2 linked regions of the Saccharomyces cerevisiae S288C genome follow. The gene in region 1 interacts genetically with each later gene. Each region holds a gene or a part of one and is shown on either strand. Other genes may lie near its edges.

Region 1 (4,816 bases):
CATCTAAATTTGTTGATTGTATAAGTACTCTATTAAACATCGTTATTTTCTCTTTTATTACTATTAATATTATTATATTTTGAGAATAGAAAAGACTAATATATATATAGTATAATTTTTAAAATTAATTCCGTACAAAAGGCAAAAGAAATTGTCTTCTTACTTAAAATGTCTGCGAATCTCGCTGTAAGCGCAGTGAAACAATGTTCCCGCTTAGAAGACGTGATTCAAGCGGAGTGAAGCTATGATTGATAATAAGTAACAATTTAGAAAAATTTTTGATGTTTTTAGTAATGCAAAATATATATGGTAGGTATATGCATATATATGCTCAATGTTTATTAGATTGAAATTTCATAAAGTATATTATAACATTATTTTGTTGGTCTGGCAAATCGCAAAATTTTAGCGACAGACATTTTAAATGGAAAAATTGCAGATAGTACTGATTTTTTCATATGATAAGTGGATATTATTGTCAAATGAGATAGGTATTATCTCTAGATTTTCATACTTCTTCTTTTGAAAAACCCTAATACTCTTTTTGCGGTTGAATGTTCTGGACTTTGGGCTGCTTTATTGTCTACGCTTGCCTTGTTGACCTCAGATACCATTATGGAGGACCTGTTGCTTCGGACCGCTTTTTTAGTTTCTAAAGTACATTTATTTTGCACCATCGTTGGTGCAGGCAGGTCTTTTGAGACTTGATGGGATGTTTGCATATTTGAAGCAGTGATATAATGATTCTTTGAATTTGTTTGATAACTGTCATCCTTTTTTGGGCGTCTTTGGGAAGGTGGAGAAGGTTTCCGTTTGGAATCCATTGATGAGTATAAACTAGATTTGGAAGTATCATAAGAGTACAAGGAAAGAAAGCTAAATCTTTTCTTTGTTGACTCTGCTTCGTTAAGTGATCTTTCTAGATGGTTATTGACGTGTTTTTGTGCTGTAGCTTTCGCGATGTTGCTACTTTTACTACCCTTTTCACTTGTGTCCTCCGTTTTCGCCTTATCAATTGATTCTTGTCCTTCATGTTGTTGAAGAGGAGATTCTGGTGGCCTCAATTCATCAGACTCTTCGGTGACCGTATCGCATGAGATGTCACTGAATATGCCGCTATATCTCAAACTTTTGCGCTTCTGTTTGTATTTTTCATCATAGATTCTCGTTACTACATCAGCGTCCCTCTTATACTTGATCAAGTCACCAGATACGCTTTGCAAATCAACAGAGGGTTTTGCTACTGAAAATTGGCCGTGCGTAATTAACTTTGGAGAGCTTTCGATGGAAGAGGATGAGGTTATGCATGTATCTAGGGCAAGGTATGGTGTGGAATCAAATGGGGATGTGTCTCTTTGATTCAGCGTTTGTGATGAAGCGCTACTTTTAGCTTTTTCGTTGATCTCATATATGGAGAGCGTATTTGAATTGTAGGGAGGTGTTGTGTATGAGCCAGGATGGTATGAAGTTGGCCGTGGCTTTGTATGGGATGAGGAAGACGTACGGTAGAAATTTTTAGCAGATTGGAGACTATTTTGGGTCTTATTTTTATTGTATTGATGATTTTGTGATGAAGCCATGTTATTTGGTTGAATCTTGCTTGTTTGCATTGTGGTAGACGACTCTTCTTCTAAACTTGGTACAATACTACTCCCAGAAATTGTATTTCTTTTAATAGGTGTGGTTTCGATTATAATATCGCCTGGACTTATGGCTGGTGGAGGTGAAAGACTGGCAGTCATGTTTCCCGTAGTTTGTCTAATGTTTTGTACTGGGGATAATGATTGTTCATGACTTAACACATATTCCCTATCTGCGTTCACCACTGCCTGCAAGGCAACGGATGCAGCAGAGTTACTTCTATTGTGCCTATTAGATCTTCTTATAGGTGACAGCCGCTGGTCAGATGCAATAGAAGCCGGTCTGGTTATAATATGATTTTGTGATTCTTGAGGCGGAGCCGGGAAAGTAATTAAAGTTGAATCAATGACCAGTGAATCCCTTTTATCACTCCTTGAGCCAAGAGATGAGGTAGAACAACTGGATTGTGGTCTAGATCCATATCTTCTTCTTGGTTTTGCTAATCTGAACACGGATTGAGTATTGTTTAGTTTGTCCCACTCATCAGGTGTTATGGATAAGAATGAAGAATGAGGCTTTAGCCATTCATGTTTCTTGATCTGTTTCAGGTTTATTCTTTTCTTTGGGTCTGAGACCAGCATGCGTCTTAATAAGTCCCGAGGTATAGGAAGAATATAATCAGGGAACTTTAATGGTGTGGAGTTAATATAATTATAAAGTCTTCCTATATCGCTGCCTTCAGGATTATTTGGATCATCATCCCACGGTAAATATCCAGCTAGTATAGCGTAAAGTATAACTCCACATGACCATATATCTGCTTTTCTAGCTTCGTATGGTTCGGCGCTTATCACTAGTTCAGGCGCTGCGTAGCATGGAGAGCCACATGACGTCTTCATTAATTCGTTTCGTGAGCAAAACTCATTGACAAACCCAAAATCTGTAATAACTAGGTTCTCATTCTTGTCTAGTAATAGATTTTCCAATTTGAGATCTCTGTGAACAAGTCCCTTAGAATGTATGTAATGTACTCCACTTATTAGCTGAGAAAATAACCTGCATGCATTCATTTCCTTAAGCCTCCTTTTTTTTTGAATATATTTATAGAATTCTCCCCCGCATGCGTACTCTAGGACAATACCAATGTACCTAGAATTTTGCAACACTTCTTCTAATTTTACGATATTCGGATGTGATAAGTGTTTTAAGGCGTTGATTTCTCTGTATATTTTAACTTCTTTCCTGTAATCATTCGATATGCTATCACGTTTGATAAGTTTAATTGCTACTTGTTTTGGGAAGTCAAAAGTTGAATTAGAGCTGTTTGAAAAATTCTTTGGCCAGCCTAGCTTCACTTTTCCGAACTCTCCTTCTCCTAACGTCGACCCTAGGATATAAGGACCAAACGTTACATGTTTCCGCCTTTGCTCATCTGTTCTTTGAGGGTACTGAAATGTGTCAGACAAATCGTTGGTAAACCCTCCGTAGTATGTATGACGTTTATTGGTGTACGACATTAAATTTTTGGCACTCTAAATCAGTATATAGAAGTAATGGCCAATTGAATATTGAACGCCGCTTGGCTCGCCTTTCTTGTATTGTGGATGGGTAAAAAAAATAGCGATTATTGTTAGGTTTAATTAGCAATCAAAAAATTCTCGCAAACACGTCACAAGAAACAAATTAATGCAAAATGTGGCACAGTCAAAAAACTGCGAAAATGTGTTAAAGATGAAAAGAACCGTGATCAGCAACAGCAGTGTACCAGATTTTGTGATCTGATTTATTATAGATTTACTCGATGACCTGAACTTGAATTATATTTAAATCGATGAAGGGGTTGAAACAGGTGTTGATCTGGGTTTCAGAATTTTTCTCTTGTTTACCTTTTTTGCTGTTCTACACTCATTCTTTCGATTGTTTTCAATTGCTTTTTTAGGAAGTGCGGCTTTGTTTACATAAAAGGTGTGCGGCATTTTAATGCAATATGAAATTTAAAAGTATATGTAACGATAGCACTATTATTTAGGGTTCCTGAAATGATATACTTTATGGATAGACATTATCTGTTCATTGAGTATACAGTAGGGGCTAAACCTTCTTTTAAGGGAGTAAAAAAGATGGATATGCATTACGTCGGCCACATGACATTAATTGTGCAGGTTCAGCTGATGTATAGGCTGAAGAGGCTACGCTTGCTAATTTATAATGCCATTTACTAACCTAAGGAGAATAGAATCTCCCATAGAGTGAGTATGTTGTGATTAAAGAGATATGGTTTCATCTTTACTCGAGTCCATTTTCTTTATTTTTTTAATGGTAAGAGGATGAGTATAGCAAAAACGGTCAAGAGACAGCAGTAAGTGTCGTCGTAACTAGAACAAATAGGCCTTATAACAGAAATCATAAGGGTTGTCCCGTGGTCGGAGCCCTTGTCGGAACTAAAGAAAATCAGGCAATATAGAGGATATTTTCTACGTACAAAACGCTTATTGTATTTATAGCTCCAGTTACTGAAGTGGTAACTTAAGTAAGCAATAAGTATGTTAAAACCCTTTTATTTTTCTGAGTCGAGCAGATTTTTGTTCGACCGTTGTATATAGGATAATATGACGCCATATGATTTTTTCCTCTTTGGTAGGGAGGGAAGAAATTTTCCCCGCGCGGCTGAGTACAAAAGCGCCTAGTACTCACTTGAGTCATAATTTAGCACATCATAGCGTGCCTGCCAGAAAGACTTGGATGCGCATTTCTATTTGATGTAAGTAAGGAAATAGGAGAACTTTCATAGCCCATGGCTAGTTCGGTTTTCAGTAAACTATATACGTATATGTTAAGAATATTTCGGAGTGTCTAGATAATAAAAGAACATCGTTAAACTTATGAATGGTGAAGGAGGAGAAGTCTCGTTAAAGAATTCCTGTTGTAGAAAAAGTCAGTTCTGGTTACGAGAGGAAAATGTTGGAAGTTTATATCCCATCCTTTTCCTTTTCCCAGCATTTCTTTACAAACCGTTCCATGTTGACTTTTTTTTTCATTTGCCCTACAATCCAGGGATGCTTTAACATTTGCCTGGGAGAAGGCCTCTCTCTGGCATCTTTTTTTAAACAATAGTCGATAAAAGATCTAAATGTCTTGCTCCAGGATATGTCTAGTTCTGGCTCATCTTTCAACTGGGGAGAAAACGTCAGGATCATCGTCAATAATTCTATAGGAGCCACGTTTTGCGTTATTT
Region 2 (5,183 bases), on another chromosome or scaffold:
CCAGGGAGGTGTTTGGCTTGACTCCTTCATTTGATGGGGTTATGGCTCTTTCCCCATTAAGGGAATCCTTGTGCTCACCATTCGCGTTCGTTTGATTAGATGTGTGGGCATCAGAACTATCTTCCTGGCCCTGGATTAAGTCTGTATAATTGACGGTAGCGGCAACAGCAGCCTCAGCCACTGACGCATCTTCGTCATCACTTCCTTTCTCATCTTTGTTAGACGTCAGTCCGCTTTCATACTGACTTTGAGTCCCTTTTAGCGTAGCCCCTTCGCTCAACAGAGCAGAGTCAATATTTCCGTCATTGCTCTCTTGTGACAACAAGCCTTGATCTCTTTGCTTTTTCCTGGCCTCGCTGTAGTTCTGCTCCTCGTTATAGCCTCTTTTTCTTGCCGAATGGATTTCCTCATCCTCAGTAGAAAGCTTATTATTATTTGCCAGAGAGTTCATCGTTAATAAAAGTGTAGAAAACCGTATTATATTTTAAGCACTTGATGTTGGTACTTGTAGCAGAAATGAAAATGACCGCCAACTAAAATGATTAATTAACAAAGTGTTTATCTTTAAGGTATAATGGTTTACATTCTACATTAAATAAAAAAACGTGATAAGCACGTGGATAATTGTTGTTTGCCCAATACTTTTCTCGTCCGATTTTATTTTTTTTTTGACCTTGGTGGGTGAGACATGGTGGTCCCGAAGGATCCGAGAGGAATGAGAAAAACCGATCACGTACATCGATGTACGGGAAAAATAAATAATAAAATGTTTGTTTATTGTTTGAAGTAAAATATATAAGTACATATGTGGATTTATATGTGTGTGCTTTATTTCATTGTTTGATTTATCTTCCGTTCTTTATCTTTTCCCGGTGGGATATTTTATATAAAAAGCTTATAAGGAAGGGTATGAAAGAATATGACGATACTAAAGCATAAAAGAGGGAATTAAAGAAGTCCTAACGTCTATCTTGAGATAAAGGCGCTCACGGATGACATGTTTGTAACGCTGTTGGTAATGTCCAAGTGGTGGTGAATTACCTTCTTCTTTTTCGAGGATGACACGCTTGGACTTCCGAGGCTTCTCAGTGAATTGCTTGATGACGAAACATTCGGTGCGCTAAAGTTCTTTGTAGAAGCCGGTGTTTCCGATTTGAGTGATAGGTCGCTCATACGCTTATCTAATTGAGTGCCAGCCTTTGCAGGGAGCGGAGTGGGGCCATTATGTGTTGGTGTAGTAGGGGTGGAGTTTAGCATCGACTTTAATTCCTTCATTGTGGAATCATCTTCGCTTAAGTTGTCCTCTACTTTTGTGGAGGTTGGTGTTGGTTTTTCCAATATGCTGTCCACATTAGTCGTGGTAGCCTCTTCAATGACTTTGTCCTTGTCGCCGTTCTTGACCTCATCTTTCTTCAAATTTTCCTTTTTATCTTGCTGCTTAGGTTTGGTGCTTTCATTCCCCCCTTCATCCCCAACATCGTGTGTTTTGGTCTTTGCGCTATCTTTTACCTTGGATTTTTGTTTCAAGGAAGGAGATTCTGCAATTTCCAACATCGATCTTGGTTTAGAAGTGAGCGTTTCCTTTTTTAGGAATGGATTAGACGTGTGAATGACCTCTTGATCATGGGGTGCATCTAATGAATTTTCACTAAAATCATTGGTAGAAGTACTTTTCCTTAATTCAGGAACCCTTACTAAGTCATCATCATTTGGCTCGACACATGTTTCAATTTGTTGGAAAAACGGATCATTAAATAAATCATCCATTGTATATCTAGTTGCAGGGTTCGGGTCAGCCAATCTCCATGCGATACGCGTGGCATCAGTATTCTTGAAATTTCTTGCTAAAGAGTATTCGGAACCAGGACCCGGCTTGTGGCAGCCCTTGTCCCTGAAATGTGGGTTTTGATGATTGATGAAGTTGTCATATGACACTTCAAATTCCCTGAATCTCGCATCAGTGTTACAAGAATCGATGAAGGGGATGATATTGTTAATCATGGTAATCAGCATGATTCCGAGGGCATAGGAATCCATGGCCAACGGATTATAGGGTTTTTGGAACTTTTCGGGGTAGTGCTTCTTGGCATCGAAGTACATTACCTCTGGCGGAGTGTATGGTGGAGAGCCAATCATACCTTGGCATGTTTTCACTGGACTAGTGTAGTCATGAGGTATCACATGGTACCAATCAGAAATACCGAAATCCGTCAATTTGCATATACCTTCTTTAGAAATTAAAACATTTTCGGGCTTCAAATCACGGTGAGCAATACCATTGTCATGACAAAACTTAATACCTTGGGCCACTTGTTTGAAAAGACAATATTTTTCATTGAAGGGAACGTTCTTCCAGCCTGTTCTTTCCATCAGTTGGAAGAGGTCCTTAACACCTAGTTCCATAATAAACCCCCAACCACGAGTTGTATATGTGGTCGTGGGAACTTTTAGAAGATAAAAAGTATTCGTGATGTGAACGTTATGACTTAAATGCTTAGCTATGATGAATTCTTTGGAGCATCTCTTGTAAAACTTCTCGGGTGACTCGTGGTATATCATATTCAGTTTTTTTAGAGCGTAAACATCCTTTTGCCTGTAACTTGATTTAACCTTTCTAACTTCACTAGACCCACCCGAACCAATAGGTTTATTGTCCGTATCAAATACGAAATTATCCGTTAAATGGACACTATATTGTTTCATATCTTCGGGCAAAAAATCGTTCGGATTAGCAATTGGAAGGGGCAACATCCGTATCTTGCTGTTACCATCATGCATGTAAAAACTCAAATCGTTCTCCTTATTCGTATTCAGAGTGTCTGCAAATGCAGTATCTGGCCTAGCATGGTTTGGGCTTATGCCGTATGGATTATAAACTATATTCTCGTTGGGAAAATGGTGACTAGCCATGCTATTAGACCTTTGCGGTAAGCCCGCGTGATGAGTATTTCTTTCTTTGTTTCTCGCCCTTTCTTTTTCCTTTTCTCTATCCAAAACTGCTCTATCCCTATCTCTTGTCGAGGCAATGCCAGTACCTGTGCCCAGAATATCAGAGGGAGAGTTCAAGTAAGGGTTATTATTATGTTTAATTAAGTCCTGCAATGCGACAGAGGACTTGTGTGACGACACAGACCCATTTGAAAATCCTACAGAAGCATTGTTTTTTCTTCTATGTAAAGAAGCAGATCTCTGCCGTGCCCCAGCAGAAGACGAAGGTGAATTACCACCGCTACCACTGCCACTAATGGACGGAGACGTTGGCCTTTTTCTTAAACTTCTCCCATTGCCCAATTGTTCGGCACTAAGCAGTAACGAAGAGTTATCCGTGTGACTGCTGGAATTAAACAGGCGTTTTCCCAATAGTTTCAAAGTACTAACAGAGGGACTTTTATCTACCTCTTTGTCCTTACCGTTTCCCGCCATTATCTTATTCAATCGGTTAACCTGTAAAAAACTGCTACGGCTTACACAACTTTACTTTCCTGGTGTGCGTGCGATATCGTGGTTTGGATAAGGGTAGCGACGGGATGTGACAATACCTTTCTTTAACACTATATATAAACCTGCTTTTACCGTCAACCGGATATTATTTGGTTCTACCTCCCACCTGCAAGGGGTCGTGCCAATGACGAAAAGACAGCCACCCATGCACCGCACTCGCACGTGGCAACTATTTGCGCCTTTGCCCAAGAGGTTATGCTTGTAGATGGGGTGACCGTACTAAAGCGTTCATGTTGTATATACCATATATGTAGGCTTGAATGGCTATAGGACGCGGGTATGTTTATCATGCTGCCGGCACGTAGTACTTGCAGCTCCGGCATTTCTAAACTGTACCTGTAGTGGAAGGGTCTTTCCAATAGTTTTGCAAGACATATCATTTTGCACGCATAGAACAGTTTCGGATACTTTTGATACAAACGGGGAGGAATGGTTTATTCAGTAGGTACATTAAGAACGTTTGCCTTGAGATAGCGTTTGGTGCTGTTATTTTGTGAAGAACGGAGACTTGTTTGCTGTAAGGGATAAAAAAAATGGCAGTACAGTTTATACTGTGCTTTAATAAGCAGGGTGTGGTGCGGTTGGTGAGATGGTTCGATGTACACAGTTCGGATCCTCAGCGTAGCCAGGATGCCATTGCGCAGATTTATAGACTCATATCTTCCAGAGATCATAAGCATCAGAGTAACTTCGTAGAGTTTTCCGATTCGACGAAACTCATATACAGGAGGTATGCGGGTCTGTATTTTGTCATGGGTGTGGACTTACTTGACGATGAACCCATATATTTGTGCCACATCCATCTGTTTGTGGAGGTGCTAGATGCATTTTTCGGCAATGTCTGTGAACTGGATATCGTATTCAACTTTTACAAAGTCTATATGATAATGGACGAGATGTTTATTGGAGGGGAAATACAAGAAATTTCAAAGGATATGCTGTTAGAAAGACTAAGTATTTTAGATAGACTAGACTAGGATATATGTACAGATCCTCCTAGAAGAACGAAAATTTATCATGATCAATATGCGTACTCAAAACAGGCTCAACGATTTGCCAAATAAGCGCTTCAACTTCCTGAATGCCCTTATTAGTAACGTCTACAATCGTGATTGACTCATCGCCTTTCCTTATCTCTTTATCCAATAGCTTCATAAAAGTTTGCTTCACTTTTTCTTGAAACTTAACAGTTTCGTATCTTTCGTCACCAAATCCAGATTTTTCGGCGTTATTGTCGACATCTTGAGTGCTTAAAAATAATGTCAAATCCGGTTTCAGCAACCCTACATCGGGTTGCAAGCACCAATCCAAATCCATTCCATTTGTCCCCTTAGCGGCAGAATATGCCACTCCAGAATAAACATATCTGTCCATGACAATGTTCTTGCCTTCTAGTAAATCTTTCTTTATCTTGTCAACTATTTCCCATCTATTTGCCGAAAACAAGAGGTGAATTGCCTGATCTGATAATTGGAAACTATCATCCGTCAAATATTCGTTTATGAGTCCTCCGATTCGGGTAGACCTTTCGGGGAACTTCAATAGTTTACAGTTTGGTTGCAATTTTTTGTAAAGAATATTACATTGCGTGGTTTTACCAGTCCTATCCAATCCTTCTATCAGTATTAATTTGCCACGACCCATCATTCAAAATGGTGATCTTTCTGTCCACTATGAATCAT

Evidence for each region. Genes that interact genetically often act in the same process or in processes that back each other up.
Region 2: mutations in FRK1 (region 1) and PTK2 together harm fitness more than expected from each alone (negative genetic interaction), as found in Saccharomyces cerevisiae (3 studies listed by BioGRID).

What each region holds. Positions count from the first base shown.
Region 1 is NC_001148.4:282,964-287,779, forward strand, and holds FRK1 (protein kinase FRK1), read right to left. Parts: upstream 3,099-4,816; coding exon 501-3,098; downstream 1-500. Other genes in the region: 60S ribosomal protein eL33 RPL33A, read left to right, coding at 1-7; putative mitogen-activated protein kinase kinase MKK2, read right to left, coding at 4,551-4,816. UniProt on the Saccharomyces cerevisiae protein: Putative serine/threonine-protein kinase that may be involved in rRNA transcription and ribosome biogenesis.
Region 2 is NC_001142.9:544,027-549,209, reverse strand, and holds PTK2 (protein kinase PTK2), read right to left. Parts: upstream 3,424-5,183; coding exon 967-3,423; downstream 1-966. Other genes in the region: CBF1 (Cbf1p), read right to left, coding at 1-451; APS2 (Aps2p), read left to right, coding at 4,035-4,478; CDC8 (bifunctional thymidylate/uridylate kinase), read right to left, coding at 4,498-5,148. UniProt on the Saccharomyces cerevisiae protein: Essential determinant for high-affinity spermidine transport. Required for the activation of the plasma membrane proton pump PMA1 via phosphorylation of 'Ser-899'.